Linked DNA regions of Cricetulus griseus. The protein of the gene in region 2 interacts with the protein of the main gene of each other region in a pairwise test. Links are inferred from orthologs where the notes say so. Each region holds a gene or a part of one and is shown on either strand. Other genes may lie near its edges. The genes, in order: Spred2, Top3b, Ssx2ip and Mid2.

Evidence for each region.
Region 1: the proteins of Top3b (region 2) and Spred2 interact in binary tests that used the Homo sapiens proteins (3 or more experiments, as listed by UniProt). The link is inferred for Cricetulus griseus from reciprocal best matches to the Homo sapiens genes TOP3B and SPRED2.
Region 3: the proteins of Top3b (region 2) and Ssx2ip interact in binary tests that used the Homo sapiens proteins (3 or more experiments, as listed by UniProt). The two-hybrid records come from large-scale screens. The link is inferred for Cricetulus griseus from reciprocal best matches to the Homo sapiens genes TOP3B and SSX2IP.
Region 4: the proteins of Top3b (region 2) and Mid2 interact in binary tests that used the Homo sapiens proteins (3 or more experiments, as listed by UniProt). The two-hybrid records come from large-scale screens. The link is inferred for Cricetulus griseus from reciprocal best matches to the Homo sapiens genes TOP3B and MID2.

What each region holds. Positions count from the first base shown.
Region 1 is NW_023276807.1:86,504,128-86,509,020, forward strand, and holds part of Spred2 (sprouty-related, EVH1 domain-containing protein 2), read right to left. Parts: intron 2,838-4,893; coding exon 2,660-2,837; intron 1-2,659. UniProt on the Homo sapiens protein: Negatively regulates Ras signaling pathways and downstream activation of MAP kinases. Recruits and translocates NF1 to the cell membrane, thereby enabling NF1-dependent hydrolysis of active GTP-bound Ras to inactive GDP-bound Ras.
Region 2 is NC_048597.1:72,445,149-72,448,859, forward strand, and holds part of Top3b (DNA topoisomerase 3-beta-1), read right to left. Parts: coding exon 3,678-3,711; intron 2,290-3,677; coding exon 2,161-2,289; intron 1,627-2,160; coding exon 1,477-1,626; intron 1,146-1,476; coding exon 1,045-1,145; intron 325-1,044; coding exon 123-324; intron 1-122. UniProt on the Homo sapiens protein: Releases the supercoiling and torsional tension of DNA introduced during the DNA replication and transcription by transiently cleaving and rejoining one strand of the DNA duplex.
Region 3 is NW_023276806.1:12,736,359-12,741,251, forward strand, and holds part of Ssx2ip (afadin- and alpha-actinin-binding protein), read right to left. Parts: intron 3,128-4,893; coding exon 2,977-3,127; intron 1,123-2,976; coding exon 986-1,122; intron 685-985; coding exon 511-684; intron 1-510. UniProt on the Homo sapiens protein: Belongs to an adhesion system, which plays a role in the organization of homotypic, interneuronal and heterotypic cell-cell adherens junctions (AJs).
Region 4 is NC_048604.1:39,661,354-39,666,838, forward strand, and holds the start of Mid2 (probable E3 ubiquitin-protein ligase MID2), read right to left. Parts: upstream 3,197-5,485; 5' UTR 2,700-3,196; coding exon 2,696-2,699; intron 1-2,695. UniProt on the Homo sapiens protein: E3 ubiquitin ligase that plays a role in microtubule stabilization. Mediates the 'Lys-48'-linked polyubiquitination of LRRK2 to drive its localization to microtubules and its proteasomal degradation in neurons.

The DNA.
Region 1 (4,893 bases), on a different chromosome or scaffold from region 2:
AAGGACACTGACAGATAATTCAGTCATGATGAAGAAGAATAAAAACACTTATTTTTTGTGTGTGCATGTATGGGAGGGCATGTGCCCTGAAGCACACATGGAGGTCAGAGGACCATCTACAACAATCTCTTTTCTCCTACTACGTGAGTTCCAGGGATTGAACTCAGGCCATGTGCTTGGTTGCCTGTGCCCTCATACACTGGGCCATCTGGCTGGCTGACTAACAATTAACAGTTTTTTAACAAGCAGGAAACCCTATAAGGTCATTCATAAGTGACAGACAGAGACCACTGTTATTCTATCAAATGACAGAGATTTAAAACATATGACCTCAAAATGTTAACGGAAAATCTCACACAGCAGTAGCAGCACCCATGTGAAAAATCATGTTCCAAATTAGCGCTCTCTCTCTCTCTCTCTCTCTCTCTCTCTCTCTCTCTCTCTCTCTCTCTCTCCTTTTTGGTTTTTCAAGACAAGAGTGTCTCTGAGTAGGCCTGCTTGTCCTGGAACTCACTTTGCAGACCAGGCTAGCCTTAAACTCAGAACACAGATGGTCGGCCTATCTCTGCCTCTCAAATGCTGGGATTAAAGGCATGCACCACCAATGCCCGGCTCCAAATTATTTCTTAAAAAGCAAAAAACATGAAATGTGGAAAATGCAGTTAAATGTGTCTTCATAATACTATGGTGATGGGGGGGTACATTCTAAGGAGATGGTCTAACAACGGAACATCACATTAGTGTGAACAACTGGAAAGTTCTTAAAGAGAATGTAGGTGACAAATGAGTGAAATACAAAGCTCTTTACAAACTGACAAAAATTGTGTGGAAATGAAAACGCACAGCTGTGCATTGTGACTGCATTGGTTTGGGGATTTGTGTAATGCTGTATTAAATATGGTCCCCAAGAACAAGAAATCATTCCCTGAGCATCACCCAACTAATGGGCTAACCCTGTGCTTAGCTGGGGGTACATGACAGGCACATGGTAGCCAAGCCACCTTTTTCTAAGATCTTATTTATTTGGTGTGTGTGTGTGTGTGTGTGTGTGTGCTCGCATGTGTGTTTGAGACAGGGGCTCACTACCTAGACTGGCCTGGAGCTTGCTGTGTAGATCAGGCTGGCCTTGAACTTACAGAGATCTGCCTGTGCCTGTCTTAGCCTCCCAAGTGCTAGGATTAAAGGTGTGTACCACCATACCTGGCCATTTCATTTTCTTTATAGTGTGGTCCAACTGCCGGCACAGAGAGAATTTTGAAGAGTGAACTAAGTATAAAGTAGCATTTCAGTTAATCTGTGATATTTACAAACTATTCTGTCTTACCTATTTGGTAATTTTCTTCAACCACAAGAAGTGGTTGGGGAAAAAAGAGCATATCTACACATTTCACACATGAAACCTTCCCAGGCTCTCAAATGTAACACCAACATAGTGAGGAGCCATGTGCATTTCCTCTGGGAGATCTTATATATTCAAAATCTAGAGTGACTGAAAATGTGATGGACTGTTTATATAGTGGAATAAACAGATTGTAAAACGGTGGAAAGTAAACCATGTTGAGAGTAGTCTGTCTGAAGAAGACTTAGGACTGGGGACACATAGCTCTCTGCCGAGAAAGTGCTGGCCCAGGATGTGCAAGGCTCTGGGTTCAAGTCTCAGCAAGAATAGGAAGGAAGGTGAGAGAGACTAGCTTGGGCTGGGGGGTGGAGTTCAATGCTAAAGCAGATGCCCACCATGCACAAAGTCCTAGGTTTGAGCTCTGGCACCTTGCCCCACCCCAAAAAAGAATAAACTGGACTTGGATGGTTTATCTTCCGCCCTATCATAAACCGTTGTGTAACTGGCCATCAAAGTTCCTCCATGAGACTGTATATTATCCCACAATTGGGATAAGGCTCTCTTTCCCATGTATTTGTTTCCTAGCACACACAATTTCTTATAGAAGTGCCATGCTAATGTTCTTCGTGCTTTTCTTTTACCAAAGATGCTTTACTAATTACTTATGAAATAAAAGCTGGGTGTGTTTGTGTGGTGTATATGCACCTTTTGTGAGTGGAGGCTGAAGAAAGATATCAGGCACCCTGCTTTCCCAACCTTCATCTTATTCCTGAGACGAGGTGCCTCAGTGAACCTGGAGCTAAGGCTGGGTCAGTAATCCCTGGTGATCTACAGTGCTGGGTGACAGGCCTGCAAGGCCACCATATTTTTATTTGGGTACTGGGATCCAACCTCAGGTTTTCATGCTTACACGGCAAATACTTGTACACTCTGGGCCATCTTCCCAGCCCCTAGCTCTGGAATCTTTCAGACAAACAATTATTTATAAGGAACCAATGCTAGGTGATGCCTTCTCACTCCTTACCTTCTCCCACCCAAATCTCACATGGAAAACCCTGATTCCAAGTTTGTCGCTACATGACTTGTCAAAGAACATGCTTTTGCTTTTAATACCCGTTAAAATGGCACACCTTGATTAATCAAAGATGCAAACAAAATGGTCAAATACCCTTATTACATGCACTCTATACGATGTATGGCCAAGAGACTGCGCTGAAAATGGGAGGTTATATTAGAAATATCAAAGGGCAAAGGGCTGTAACTTATGTGCAGAAATCAGTCATTGTTACTTTAACTACTAAGATGTGTGTCTGTCATTACCAGTTTGTCTTTCTGTCGTTCACCATGGATGAGAAAGCCGCTTCGTCCATTGCCTTCAGGGTGCATGACCTTACACACCCCAACGCGACTGATCCCGCCTCCTTCCTGTGGGAACCATCCCCCGCTGGAGTCATCTCTGGTCATAACCACAGCCTTGACACGCACAATATAGCTGTCACTAAAACGACAACAAGAAGGGGCATGACAACAGTCTAGTAGCTGCAGAACATGCTTTCTGGGGCAAGACACTTCTGATTTGTCTGCAGATACGGCTGACAATAACCTTAAATGGGAGCCCATCTTGACATTTAGGAAAAACAACATGTAATGCAATATAGAAGTCATCTTAAAAGAGACACCCACTAATCATCACATTTCACTAGTGAATCTCTGAAGATACACACGGGCACAACAATCTCCAGTTTCTGCGTGCTAAGTATTATTGAATGAATAAGCTAATCTCTAGAACTGGACATCTATCTGACTTGGAAAGTCAAGCCTATTAACTTCAAAGGGATGTTACAACCTTAATTTTTTAAACTTAGTTTATAATAAATGACCAAGCTTTAACATTTTATGAATTTAAGAATCCTATTTAGCAAGCAATATAATAATCCACTTCTAAATTACATGGTCACAATTCCATGCACCACTTATATAGGTGTGAAGACTTTAACTCACCTCTACACACTTACAGCCTTTGCTTATAATTTCCTTTTTTTCAGTCTAAATACATGATTTTGCCCTAAGCCCTACTATCCTATTACCTAAAATCCTTTTCCCTATCCCATTAGAACACATATTCCCATCTTGTATATACCAGGCATGGTGCCAGAATTGGGGGAAGCAGTGACATAAAATGGGGAGCCAAGGAGGACTGTGTGCCACCTCAGCACTCAGGGACAGATTCCACAATCTCAGAGACATCCTGTCCTGCCCCGGCCCCCTCCATCTCTGTTCACCTCTCACCCACTTTCTGTGATCTGCTGCTGTGACTTCACTGCCTTCCCACACTCAGGCAACATCTTGTCCCACACAAAAGTCCCTTTGCTTTCTTTACCTAGACTCAGTGGAAGGTGCCAGTGGAGGATCTCTCAGGCAAACACACCCCCTGCCCTGGTCTAAGAGAGATGTGTGCATCACTAAACCATTCCCTACCTGCCTTCAGTTTTCTTCAACTCTAGGTTCCACCCCCCAATTCCATGAAGACTTTACCAGACCGGCAAACTGCCCCATCCCTCTGCACAAAACCTAGTGTGTCACCAGTGGCCCTGAGGATTTTTCTGATAACTGTGCATCTTGTTTCCGGGACTCTTCTCTTTCCATGTCTTTGTACCTGACCAAGGCTACCCATGCACCAAGTCAATCCCTGAGATTACCACCAATAAGGGCACTTCCTCCAAACCTCATTTTTTTTTCCCTTTTGGATAGTCTCATGAAGACTAGGTTGGCCTCAGACTTACTCCATAGATAAGGCTATTTCTCCTTTTTCCAAATCCTCAATTACATACAGGTGTGAGCCATCACCAACATATAATTGTAAGCACCTTACTCTTCAGCCATCACAGGTTCCTCCTCTAGGTTCTAGTGCTCTTCTCTTTACTAGGGCCAGGGGTCTGACTACCTCTTCACACCCTGCTCTCTGCTCCATTCTCTACCTCTCTACCGAACTGTTAGGGCTGCTGCAATAGGTCACAAGGAAACTTTGTTCACAGAGCTTGTTCTTTTTCTGTTGTTGTTTTTTGAGACAGCGTTTCTCTGTGGCTTTGGAGGCTGTCCTGGAACTAGCTCTTGTAGACCAGGATGGTCTCGAACTCACAGATATCCGCCTGCCTCTGCCTCTGCCTCTGGAGTGCTGGGATTAAAGGTGTGCACCACCACTGCCGGCCACAGCGCTTATTCTAAGCCACAGCCACTGACCATACATGGGACATTCTGCTACATCTGCCCTCTGCCCAAAATGCCTTTGGACAGCCTCCTGCCTCCTTGCTCTGAGGTGATCAATGTGCTTGTTTCGTTGGGAAAACCAACAGCAGCAGAGACCTGCCCTCATGCCCTCATGTCTGCACAGCCTCTCCTGTCACACTAGATGAACCACGCCCCATTCCTCCACCTCAACATTCCTCTATGGCAACAATACCCATCTTCACACTTCTACCTGGCCTCCTACCAAGATCCAGACCAATGACAACAGTGGATGATGACATGTCTCTGCTTAGATGTCTAAGCCATCT
Region 2 (3,711 bases):
CAGTGGCCCAAGTATTTCTGGGGTCTCTGACTCAGTACTAGTGGGTACAGATAGGGAAGGATGGGTAAGGGACCCCATTGGAGTCTGGTATGATGCTGGGAACAGCCATGTGCCATACTTACCTTTCTTCATGTCTCGGAAGGGTGGGTGGTTATAGCAGTAGGGACACAGTGGGTAGCTCTTGCCCCGGGAGCCTGAGGACCACAGGACCAGTTCAAAGTCATCCAATGGACACCGCAGCTCCTTGTAGAGCTTGATGGTACCATTCTGGGGGAGGGTGTAGGTCTCGTCACAGTGGGAGCAGTGTAGGCGGCTTGGCTTGGCCTATGGGATGGGATGGGAACAATGAGAAGGGGTATGAGAGCTGCTTGGTGTGCCTCTTGCCCAAAGTCCTCCCCTTCACAACACGAATAGGCAATGCGGAATACCTAACAGATACACAGAATGTACAATTCAGTGTCAGGCAAGGACCTCTCAACCACTGGTATGAGGCCCAGTTATCACACCACCCCTTTCCTTCCTCCCTCCCTCTTTTCCACAGGCAGGGATTCTAAAGCCCCAGCACAGGGCTGGTGGATGGTCATCAGGTGAAGGTACTTGATGTGAAGCTGAGTTCAATCCTTAGAACATCTGATGGAAGGAGAGAACTGACTCCTGCAAGTTGTTCTCTGACCTCCACATGTGTTGTGGAGTGCACGCACATATGGGCATGCTTGTGCGCACACACAACCGGACTGTTACCAATAGTCATGAGAGCAAGAGAAATGATGGTGGGCGGTGGTGGCGCACCAAGGCCACACAAAGAAACCCTATCTCAGGGGGAAAAAGATAGAAATGGTGGCAAGAGGGAATGGATGGACACTGTGTGTGCATCCTGGTGGTTTATGTTGTTATCAGTGTGGATTCAGACCCTTTAATCATTCTGTGTGACAACTAAGACAACAAACATTATTTCTGCAGGACTGATGACAAAGCAAAGGGTTAAGGTGATGTGTGCAGGAATACCGTGGCCAGAAGTGGCTATAGTCCTTCGGCTCCACATACCTGGATGTACTTCATAAATCGATGGCACTTCCCACAACGTGAGAGGGGCTTGCCCGTGGCAGCCAGGGGTGAAAAGGATACCTCCATCAACTCGTCCATGCCTGAGAACAAGCAGAGCCCAGGAGTCATGTCTCTCTTGTCTTTGGCAGCCAACAGGTGGCTTGTGGGACGGGGTGAGCTGGGTGGGACTGGATGGAACACAGAGTCCAGCACATATATATGGTCAAGAGCCCAGTTGTGACTGTCAATGATAGACTATGGAGCTGTAGCCCTGTTCATCAGCTTTGTATATGCCCAGTGTGGATGCTGATCAACCTGGACAATAGCTGATGACCTGAAGACGCTCAGAGCCTGGATGTGGGAGTGGGCCTCAGGTGGCTGTGTCCTACTGGAATGGCTGCTGCTGAAGGGCAGGGAAGAGGCAGGTCTTACCAGCAATAGAATCAACAAAGTAGTGGAACTTTCTCTTGAAGATATCCAGGGTGTGGCCCAGAACCTGGTGGTAGTCAGCTTTGCCCTGAGCAATCAGGTTCAACTGCTTTTCCACTGCGCTTCGGATGGTGGGGAGTACCAGCTCTGCATCTATAAGCCAGTGGGTGAATGCTGCTGTGGGCACTGGCACGCAGGACCCTGCTACCCCACTGGGCAGGCAAGAACTGCTGTCTTGCTTGACCCAGTTTTCCTGGGTTCCCCCTGGCTGCTTGTCTACAGAGTTGGAAGCATCAAGGGCAGCTCCTATCGCCGTCAAACTTTCCCTGGTTTCCCATCAGAAAAGTTTTTTTTTTTTTTTTTTTTTTTTTGTGTGTGTGTGTGTGTGTGTAGAAATCTTGTGCAGAATGGCCAGGTCTGTGCTGCATTCCTCCATCTTGCAAAGAACTGGGGGCATGCTTTAGTGAGCAGCTGGTGGAGAACCAGGTCTGCTTTGTGGAAGAACCCTCTGTTGGACCCATTATAATCTGTTCATTAATCAAATTCCTGAGTCCTCACAGCATCTTTGTAGTGGGGACTGGGGAAACGCATGAGGAGCACAGGGCCACTGTAGGAGGCTGCAGAGCTACAGCGTAGGAAGGAACCGGGAAGCCCAGCAGGTCACAGGTAGTGGGTAGATAGACTCACCGATCTTGTAGTAACCATGTACCAGAACGATGCCAAGGTTGGTGGGCTTGAGCCGGCGGCCACTCTCCACAGTGACATAGTTGCGCTGGCAGATGTTGTTGATGTGCACAGGGATACTGGCATCAGTCCCTGGAAGGCACAGCATGGCTCTGGGTATCCCTCAGCCTGCCCCAGAAGATGCTCTGGGCTATGCACTCTAGTCTCATCCACCTGTCAAAGGAACCCTGTTTTCTGGCCCTCCCAGACACCCGTGGAAGGAGTATCATGTTACAAACTGCAGCTTATTTTGCTCACTGGGTCCAGACTGCTGTCTCCTGTATGGCTTCCAGAAGCCATGATACAGAAAGGTTCCCAAGACAGAGCAGGGCTGTCTCTGCACTGTGCTGGCACACCTGTTAACCCAAGGACAGGCTTCATTGGTGTTTAGTTTTATAATTAGAAGACAGAGGCCCAGAGAGTATAAAGGACTATGTTAAGGTCAGAGAGCATTTCCTGAAACCATTAAATGCAACTTGGCCTCTTCTACCTGGACTGTGACACATATGTTCTCTAGACATCAGGGTCCAGCTGCTAGTGCTGGCAGAGGAACATTTATCTTTCCATAAGTACTCTCAGCAACTTTTATAGGGAAGATACTGCCATCGGGGGTTGAGGAGCTTTCAGAGGTTCCATGACTCATAGCCAAGGGTAGGAATTGGCCCCAATCATGGCAGTTTGCACATGCAATGGTTCCTGGATGACTGTTATAGTCAGATCTTGTTTTTTGTTTTTGTTTTTAAAGACAGAGTCTCACTCCATAGCCCAGGCTGGCCTTGAACTTGTGGCAATCTTTCTTCCTCAGCTTCCTAAATGCTAGGATTACAGATACAAGTCATTATGTCCAGGTAGGTAAGCCCTTTTTTATACTGCCCATGGACCTTGTTCAACAACACTGCCTTCATTCACTTTCCTGTTCAGAAGGTCACATAAGAACGCTGTTCACTGTCCCAAACTGAAGTGTATGTTGGTCTCTGGGTCTGTAGCAGTCTCACATATGCTACTAATTTAAGTCATGGCTGTGGGAAAGGCTCTTAGCACTTGGCTAGCCCATCAATGGGAACTTGCTGCAGGCTGAGGTTACTATCAGGACTCACTTTAGGCACCTGGCCCTGGGGAGAAGCAGACCACACCAGAATTCTAGGGTAAGCCTGCCCAGTTAGTTGTGTGTTTTGGGGAGGCTGCTAATCTGTCCCAGGAATCCTTCAGAATCCTGGGCTAACCTTGAGTCTGGAGGGCACTTGTCAGTGTATACTGGTCCCTTGGTGCACAAGGCTGTATCAGTCTTCATACAGAAGGCCAGGTTGAGATGCAGGGCCTTGTAAACAGCTTTACAGTGAGTTAGCCTGGAGCCATGGGTCATATACTGGACCACCTGTTCCCATATGTTGAGCCAGGTGCACATGGATCATGGGCAGGCTTGCTAGCATTACCTCTTGGCTCAGGCCCTGGGAATGGAAACCCTAGATCTGGGTACCCACCGATACCGTGCTTCTCCATGAGTGTGATGAGCTC
Region 3 (4,893 bases), on a different chromosome or scaffold from region 2:
TCTGACAGCACATGATGCCCAAAAGGAACTGAGTATCTAACAGAGATCATCCATATGCTCAGCCTCTCCCTTCAATTTGCAGTTACTCGTCATGGAGCAGGCCCCCAGGCCTGAGCACAACTGACTCCATGATGGAAGTGCCACCCAGGCCATGGATCTCAGCATGTGGACAGCACCTCTAGCCAAAACCAAAACAAAGATCTAGTCCACCAAAGCTACAGTTCTTGGAAAGTCTCTAAATGTACTAGCCTTGCTTTCTGGCTTCTGTACTTCTGCCTCTGGCTAACTGTTCTTGTTAACTGAAGTATGTCAACCCAAGTTTTGGTTTTGTGCTTAAAAGCTCAGCCTGAGGATGGCTGAGATCCCAAACTAACAGTGTAGTCATTTCTGACCATTCTTCTCAGGGAGTAGGATGGCTAGTGTGATCCTTCAGATGAAGTGGATCCAAGGAGCATCCACCTGCACCCTCCCAGACACCTGTGCTCGGGGCTGCAGCACTGCAGAGCTCACCTCCAGCCCCAAGCGGATCGCAGCTTCTGTAAAGCTGCGTCTTTCTCTCTCAAAATTCTTTTTTTGCTCTTTAAAAAGGGACCACTCTTCTTTAAGGCGTTCCTTTTCTTCCAGCAAGTAACAGTCTCGAAGCAGTGAGGTTGTGTCATCATCACATGTCGTGGCCAGCTGCTGCTATTAAGGTTTAAAACACAGTAAGTCAGGAAACCCAGACAGCTTACTCACACTCCAGTGAACGCAGGGAAGATGGGTCAGAGCTTGGCCAAGGACATACACGATGAAGCAATGAGAACTTGCTTTCCCAAGAGCTGCTTCCCTTGGCAAAGTAGGGGCCAGGTGAACAAGGCTGCAGCTCATTAACTGCTAGTTCAGATGACTCACCTGAGATGGTAAAGGGTGTCAACTCTACAGACCTCAGGAGACACAGGAGCAAAAATCTAGCAGGTTCAATAACACCCCGAGGCCATCCCTTTACCTGTAAGAGCTGCTGCTGTGCTCGGATCATCTCTTTACACTGCTGGATCTCCAATTCCAGTTTCTCAGTCTCTTCTTCATGGTCCTGTCGTGAGATGACGTCCTCATCATTGAGGCCTTCTGAGTGGACCTTTGAAACTGACAGAATCCCAGTGTGCTGGGTTAGTTTGCTGTCACCCTGACTCCAGCAAGGGTCATCAAAGAAGAGGGCCCCAAACTGAGAACAACTGAGAAAATGCTTCCACAGACAAGCTTGTGAGACATTTTCTTCAGTAATGAGTTGTTTGTTTGTTTGTTTGTTTTTGGAGTAGGGTTTCTCTGTATAGCCCTGGCTGTCTCGGAACTCACGTTGTAGACCAGGCTGGCCTTGTGGGAGGCCCAGCTCAGTATGATGGGGCCACCACTGAGAAAGTGGTCTGGAGTTGTATGAGAAAGCAGGTTATCTCTTATAAGATAAGAGATACCATAATAGAGGGAGATATTTTAGGTTTAAAGAGAAATCAGGCACTCGGGAAATGTCTGGAGATCGACAATGATGACACCAGCTAACAATCTAAGCAACAGAGGAGAGGCTACCTTAAATGCCCTCCCCTGATTATGAGATTGATGACTGACTTATATGCCACCTGATAGCCCTCATCCAGCAGCTGATGGAAGTAGAAGCAGACACCCACAACTAATCACTGAAATGAACTGGAATCCAGTTCCAGAAAAGAACCAGTGATGAGCAAAGGATTAGCTGCTGAAACCCACAGAAACAGCTGACCTGAACAACGGGGAGCTCTTGGTCCCCAGACTGATAGCTGGGAAACCAGCATGGGACTGACACAGACCCCCTGAACGTGGGTGTCAGTGAGGAGACCTCGGAAATCTACGGGACCTCTTGTAGTAGATCAGTACTTATCCCTAGCTTAGGTGTGGATTTGGGAGCCCATTCCACATAGAGGGATACTCCCTTAGCCAAGACACACGGGGGTTGGGCCTAGGCCCTATCCCAAAGGATATGATAGACTCTGAAGATCCCCTATGGAAGGCCTCACTCTCCCTGGGGGCGCAGAAAGGTTTTGTGATAGGTAGCGTTTTAGTTGGGGGGGGGGCAGGGGAGGAGGGAAGGGAGAGGGAACTGGAATTGTCATGTAAAACAATCTTGTTTCTAATTCAAATAAAAAAATGGAACACACACACACACACACACACACACACACACACACACACACACACACACAGAGTAAAATTTACCCTTTCCTCTCAAGATGCTTCTGGTCATGGTGTTTACCAAAACAATAGAAACCACGATGAGAGCCAGAAACTAGGCACAGGTTTTAAAGCCACTATTGTCTTAAGCTGGTCTTGAACACACATTTAAAATAAATTACTGCAAGTGAATGTGCAACTGTGAGAACTATGCTGTTTGTCCTTTGTGACTCACAGCTTTGTACTGATAACTCCAATAAACTTTAAGTAACTGACTTTACTAAACAGAAATTTTAGTGCTCAAGAAATGACAGAGGTGAAAAGTGCACTCTGTTCCTTAGAGCTCCCAGGCTCCATTTCTAGCACCCATGTTGGGGTCTTGTAACTACCTGTTAACTTCAGCTCCGGGGAGTCAGCACCTCTGGCCTCCACAGAAACCTACACTCACATGACACGCCCCTTTGCACACACAAACACAATTAAAATGATAAATGTAAACCTGAAAAAGCACAAACTCAACTTTCCTGATTTAGAAGCACGCAGACTTTAACACATATAAGAGTGCTTGCCTTCATACTCGAGCTACAAGTTGTTCAGTTCACTACCGAGCTGCACGGGGACTTCAAGTGTGAGCAATGCTGCTCTCTAAGACTTGTTCTGGAGCCAGGTGCATCTCTGTCAGTGAGTGCAAAGCCAGGGGCAAACCAGGCAGAACCAGACACCCAGAGCAGCCAGCCCTGCACTGGACAGCAGCAGCTTACATGGCGCCCACTTCTCCTGCACTGCAGCAGGGGTTACCTTGGTTATCGAGTTTTTCCACGTGACTTTTCAAGATCCTCCACTGTCTCCTGATGCTGTTTGTAAGCTGCTCTCTCACAGTGTCACAGGAGAGGCCCCACGCGCTCTCTCTGCTCAGCTCTCCAAGGTCATCTTCAATATCAGAGATAACCTACAGCCCAAAGAGAACGACGGAAAGACCAGTAACTTACAATGCTTTTACACCCAGGCTGCTCTATCGGGCTCAAGCAATCTCTCACCCATTAGCCAGTATCTATATCTTGTAAAAAGGTACTGAAGACAGAAACTCCCAAATTCAGATCTCTTCCAATCTGACTGACAGAGCTGTCTGAGACAGCTGCTGTCTGTGCAATGCTGTGCTGGATGCTGCTGCACATTTACTTCTCAAACTGTGCAAAAAAGAAACTCAGGCTCAGAGGCAGGCTCAGTGTCACACAGAAGACAGGCAGGACTGAGACTGGTCGATTTGTCTCTAAGTTTAGACTGCTGCAACAAGTAAACCTTTTGAAATTATCAACAGAGTCAAACAGTTAATCCCAATTCTCCTATCATTTTATGGCTGACATGTTTTTCTTTTTGTTGGACCAAAACATGAAATTATAGGAAAATGTACCAATGTTGATTAAGTTACCACAGAAAACAATATGAAAACTTAAGTCAAACATGCATCTATATACAATAGTCTTTATTTGTTACTAATTTCCAGGAAGGTTGAAACACTTGACTATGAAAAATACCTCTCAGGAGAAAGGTGGCAAAAGGTTAAAAGAAAGAAGAGTTATTATACCCCCCTCCCCCCAATCAGACAAATGCAGCAGCAATGAAGAGCTGGCACTGGGGTAACAGAGGTCAGGTCTAAGCAGACGCTGTGACGTCAGCACTGGGGTAGCAGAGGTCAGGTCTAAGCAGATGCTGTGACGTCAGCACTGGGGTAGCAGAGGTCAGGTCTAAGCAGACGCTGTGACGTCAGCACTGGGGTAGCAGAGGTCAGGTCAGAGGTCAGGTCTAAGCAGACGCTGTGACGTCAGCACTGGGATAGCAGAGGTCAGGTCTAAGCAGACGCTGTGACGTCAGCACTGGGGTAACAGAGGTCAGGTCCAAGCAGACGCTGTGACGTCAGCACTGGGGTAGCAGAGGTCAGGTCTAAGCAGACGCTGTGACGTCAGCACTGGGGTAGCAGAGGTCAGGTCTAAGCAGACGCTGTGACGTCAGCACTGGGGTAGCAGAGGTCAGGTCTAAGCAGACACTGTGACATCAGCACTGGGGTAGCAGATCCAGCTAAGCGGAGCGGGTGATTAAGGCTTAGCAGATGGCTCAGTGACTGTTCTTGCCATCATTGGTCTCCAGGAGCTATGGGCCTGTAACCCATTTCAAAGTCTCTTAGACTACAGACTAAGCATCCCTCACCAGACACTTGGGGCCTGAGCACTTGGGATTTAAGATACTTTGGGATTTTACAGTATCTGTCTCTTCTGTCTGTCTGCTTATGTGTATGTGTTAGAAGTATGATATAAGCCTAAACATGAACTCTATTTCAAATGTACCTTGTATGCACAATCTGAAAGTAATTTACTTATGAAATATTTTTGTGTGGCTTGATTCCCGCTGCGCTGTCTTGGGAGATCCAATTTAGAATTTCCCAGCTGCAGCATCATGCTATACTTAAAGCTGCAGCTTGTGGAGCAGGAGGGATTTAATCAGGTGCTACACCCTGATTACAAACCTGGCGGTGGTGGCACACACCTTTAGTCCCAGCACTCGGGAGGCAGGTGGATCTCTGTGAGTTCGAGACCAGCCTGGTCTACAAGAGCTAGTTCCAGGACAGCCTCCAAAGCCACAGAGAAACCCTGTCTCAAAACAAACAAACAAACAAACAAAAAACAAAGAAAAACAAACCAAACCTGCTGTTAACACTGA
Region 4 (5,485 bases), on a different chromosome or scaffold from region 2:
CTAATAGCCAAAGACAGTATTCTTTCCTCTTCATCAAGCCAATGAGTTTTGCTGGGTGATTAAAAAAAAAAACCCAAAAACAATCTTCTGTAGTTTCCTTCTTAATTGTTGTGGTGTCAGCAGATTTTATGGGAGGAGGGAATGGAAAGGTTCACTACTCAGAACACTAGTTGGACACAATTATGAGACTCCACCGGCACTATTTTAAGATCTGCAAGTTGGAGCAAGTTGCCCTGTTCTTAGAGGAAGGATTAACCAATTTTATCTAAGTCAATTTGCACTGTTCAGATGATCTGTTTGTGAAGCAACCATGTCACTCCTATTTGCAGCAGTACCTCTCAGAAATGGTCTTGCAAGGTACAACATGCTAGGTAGAAATCCTAGTAGTTATGAAAGTAAATAGAAGAGAGAGAGCCCTTCATGGTCCATAACCGCTCTTTCTACTCCACACATTACACTCCCCCGCCCCATCCTAGCCTTGGAGATGGAAGCAGAGTTCAGCATAACACAAATATGAACCCAAAATACTGAGACAAGTCTAGGGCCTCAACACAATCAGCAGAGGCCTCTGTATATTAAAGGTTCTTTAAAAAAATATTGACTCACTGCTGCAAGGTGCTAATCATGCTTGGCTAGCCAGACCTAAAACTATGCCACTTTTTATTGGGCATTAAGTAACTGCCCCCATGTTAGCTAAAAATGGGTGAGGTTGTGTATTCAAATGAGTCTGACTCAGATTGTTAGGTTAGAGTGCAATCAATATGATTTATGACTCGACTTAAAATCATCACCATTACTTTCTATGTCTAATTGTGTATGTTTCCATTCAGCTACACATACATTTGGTGAAACAAATTGACTTAAGATCTAAATTACAATAATGATTTGGATCCCAGGGGGACTAATAATGGCAAATTAAGGTTTCTGTAAATTAGTGTTCCCATTTATACCCAGTCAACCCAGTAACCCAATAAAGGATAAATGAAGTGCTTTCATTGAAAAATATAATGCTGAGGTTTATAGAATCCTTTTATCTTCAAAGGACCAAGCCAATACTCACAATACCCAGTGCATAATATTATGCCTTTTATGCAAGGGCAGCAACTGTCAAAGAAAGGTCATACAAATGTCTAAAGGCCATAAAGCCAATGCAACATCACATTTGCAATGGACTCTCTGATCTTGGCTCCAAGACTTGTGTTTCAACCACATGAATCAAGTTTTGTAAGGAACAATCAAGAGAAATTTAATTCACATTATGAGTCTGTATTAAGTTAATTGAGCAGGAATATATAAAAATAACAAAAACTGACTCTCCCTCAGGGCAGTGATGAGTGGGGAGGTAAAAAGGTGTGTGTGTGTGGTGAGGTGCTAAGCCAGGGTATAGCAGAGGCTCCATAAGCAGAAGTGAGAAATATAAACTCTCTATTTGGCAACCCCTTCTCCTGTTGGAATTCTGTCAGAGTTGATTCGATTTCGGAGAGGAAGTAGAATCGAATTAAAGTCAGCCCTTATGGTCCAATTTGAAAATCGGATTAATTAATCCCCACACAACAGTTGTCTATTATTACAATTTCCAGGGTTTTCCTTCATAAATACTCCCCCTCGGAGACACACAACTGCCATTCACCGGCCCCACCCTACAAAATCTTCCAAAAAAGAAAAAAAGCAAAGTGATTGAAAAGCAAGAAGGTGCGTTGCTGGATGATGTGCACAGGTTGGTAGAGAAAAGCCGAGAGTGCGGGGACTCTGGGGAGAGACGTGGGTGGACAAATGTTGTGAGGCAGGAATAAGAGGCATACTAGTGTCAGTGCATAAGGAGTGCCAAGAGAGTGGAAAGTGAGGAGTCCCATCATCTCAGGATCCTAATTGCCTGCTCGAAATAGAAATGCCTCCAAACTAAATAAATAAATAATGTGCTGCACGTGAAGTGCGAAATAACCTAAGCCAGCTCATGGCCAGTAGTGTTACAGTAAATCTGCCTGCCGTTACTTAATTCTTACGAGCCCGAAATGGGAAAAGCCTCAAATGTTCCTGCTTCAGTAGCAGTGTGTCCTGTGGACACCCTCAAGTTTTCCTTCTCCCCCCCCCCCCCACGGCGCTGCTTTCACAGCTAGGCCAGAAATAAGGAACCACCCAGACAGAGACTTGAGGATCCCTTGCTTCCTCCAGCGAAAAGGGGGGATTAAGTTTCTCCCGGGTTCCCGCCGGCTGGGTGTCCGCAGCATCACAGGCTGCTGCGCCAGCACCGCTGAGCAAACCGCCGACCACGGGGCGCCGCCCGGGCCGAGGACGCCGTGGATTGCGGGAGCGTGGGAAGGCGGCTGCGCCCTTTCCCAGACTTGCGCCTGGGCGCCAGGAGAGCCGCTCCACTGCTTTCTCCCGGCTGGGCCTGGCCAAGCGGGAGGCCTCGGGCCGTTCCCCGCCTGGGATCCAGGAGTGCAAACTCCTTCGCACGAGGGCAGTGGCAGGAACCCGGGTCACCACAGTGTGACAGACACCGCGGGCCCCGCTACTGCCGCCTGGAGCCTCGCGGACCCTGTCTCCCCCCCTCCCCTTCCCGCCGAGCCCGGGTATCCTCGGCCAACGCTGGCACCTGAAGAGCAACCGGAGCCGGGGCCGAGCCCTGCGCGGGCGGCGACACTCGACCCCCCCACCCACCCAAGGGCCGCGACGAGGGGACGCATTTTTTTACCCATATTGTTCTCGGGTGCCAGCCATGTCCTACACGCGCCTGGGAGCGTCGGCCGCTCGCTGGCCTCCGCAGCAAGCTGGCTTGGGCTCCCGTGCGAGCTCCCGGGCCGCTGTCGCTGCCGCCGCCGCCACCACCACTCTAGGCCGCCGCCTGCCTTCGCCGCTGCGGCCGCCGCCGCCACCGCCGCGCAGCAGCCGGGATCCGCCAGCCCGCGCGCCCCACAGGGGACAGCACGGAGACCGCGACGTTCCCGCGTCTGGGTCTCCCGGGCGAAACTTGAGAGTTTTCGCCTCTCAGTCCAGAGGCAGCACCATGACACCACCGCAGCACCACACTGTCATTTCCGCCGCCGCAGAGGAAAAAAAAAAAAGCAATCCCTTCGAAAGGAGGGTGGAGTGGGGGCAAGCGGAGCCGAAGCTGACACCCCCAAGGGAGCACTGGGAGGGGCCCGCGCAGAAGGGGCGCTGGGCCACCTTCCTAGGCTCACCTTCCTCCGCCCCCGCCACTCCCAGCTCCCCGTGCCCCTCCTCTGGAGGCGCGCTTACATGTTTTCTCCCCCGGCAGGAGTGACCGGAGAAACCTGAGCAAGCAAAGGCAGCGGGTGGGTGGGGTTCAGATTACTACTGTACCTACCAGCTGATTCCAGCAGCCTTTTCTCCAGCGCCCTGTCATCTTGATGGAAGACACAGGGAAAAGGGGTCTGAGCAGGCGTGTGTGTGTGTGTGTGTGTGTGTGTGTGTGTGTGTGTGTGTGTGTGTGTGTGTGTGTGTGTGTGTGTGTAGTATGCGTGCGTCTGCGAGCGGGTAGTGTGTGTGAAGTGCAGAGGGAAGACTATGGCCAAACTCTTCTCCCACCCACCACCCACTACCTCCACAAACCCCCAGATTAGCAAGGAAAAGGCACCCGCCAATGAGAAGAGTCTGCCTGGAACCTCCGCACAGGTCCTCCTGATGAAGCTGTACTATTGTACTATGCAAAGTTAACTAGAGAGTAAAACTAGAGAGGCATGGAAGAGATAGAGAAGGACAGACAATTGAAGGAAACCCAACCCCTTTCTCTTTTTACAAAGGGAGAGTGGCTGTGTTCTATTGGCCTTGGCCACAAGTTGTTCGGGTGGATTAAAGCCACTGAAAGTGTATGGGGGAGTAAAGGTTTCTTTTGCACCTTCAGACACTTGACAAACAAGACAAGATGGTCATTAACAGAAGGTCAAAGAGGCAGAAGCTAGTCATCCAAGAATGCTAGGTCCCTATTAAGAAGATTGGTCCATTTGGAACCCAGGAGCCTCCCATTGGTCTGGAGTCAGCCTATTTACTATTGACTCAAAGACCACTGCCCCTCTTAAGGTGGATGAGAGAAGGAAGCTGCCCCAGAGGATACTGCTTTAAACTCCACTCAAAAAGAGAGAAGAGGAAAGCAATCACATGAGCCTCCTATTACTGTGCTTGGGAACAAATCCAGAAAAAAAATGAAGGTTGCTGGGTGTGTCTTGTCAGGGAACCAATAGCAGTCACCCAACAGCACTGTTAAACAGTGTGCTAGAGAACTATGGAGTGGAAATGAAGGGGAAAAACCCAACCATGCTACCTTAAGGGAAGTACAGGGCTGAGAGATCTTAAAGTTAATGCGTCATACCCAAAACACAGACAACAAAAGCAAATGACATATGAGACTACATAGCACCTAACACCTACACAATAGAATGCACAATCAACACAGTTGGGAATGGGCGAAAATATTTGAAAACCATACGTGATAAAGGCTTAATATCTAGAATATACAAAGAGGGTAAAGTCAGCTCCCCTACATGCATGCTCTCAGGGTCGGTTCACCCTGGCCTGTGGTGAAGGGTGGGGGCCATCTCTCCAGCTTACAGGGACCAGCTCTCTTGCTGTTGTGTCCAGTGAGAGGCAAGGCCAGCTTTCCCAGGGCCAGTGAAGGGCGTGCCTGCCTCAGCATGGCCCTCTGATTTCATCTCGAATGGTTCCTAGGGTTTCATGAGGTGATACAGGCCACAGACACCCACACAGACCCCATTTGTAGCTGGACCACCCACCCAGACATGGCCCAAGGCAAGCAACTTGAGCCCAGATGACATCTGGGCTCTGGGTGGAGCTACTGGCCACTCAGGTGGGGATGATTGACTTTTTTTTCAGAAGTACATTCTTTTTATTTCTTTAGATATGCATATACAGATACATAAAAGAAATTTTACATTTCCTAAGATGACTCTCCATTTCTTCTACTTGTATTAAACTAATGCTCATAAAGATACTGAAGGACTGTTTCAAAAAACCTTATCTTCAGTAACCTCAAAAATATGGAACACTTTACGAATTTGCGTGTCATCCTTGTACAGGGGCCATGCTAATCTTCTCTGTATCATTCCAATTTTAGTATATGTGCTGCTGAGGCGAGCGCATGATTGACTTTTTAGAAATAATTTTAAAGACTAAAGGTCATAGAGATAGGAAGTAGAATGAAAGTTACTAGGGGCCAAGGGCATGACGGAATGAGTTGTTTAAAACATACATGGTTTCTGTGTGGGATTCTTGAAAATTTTCTAGAAATAATTTGTTTCATGGAAGTAATTAATGCAACTAATAGTACACTAAAAAGTGGTTAAAGTGGTAAATTGTATGTTATGTATATTCAACCACAGAAAACAAGATAAAATGTGAAAAGAAAGAGGAAGTATACTGAACAAGTATAGCTCATCCCATTTATGTAAGCAAAATATATGTATATCAGCACATGTATAGAAGAGCCTAGCTCATATCTCTGTGAGTT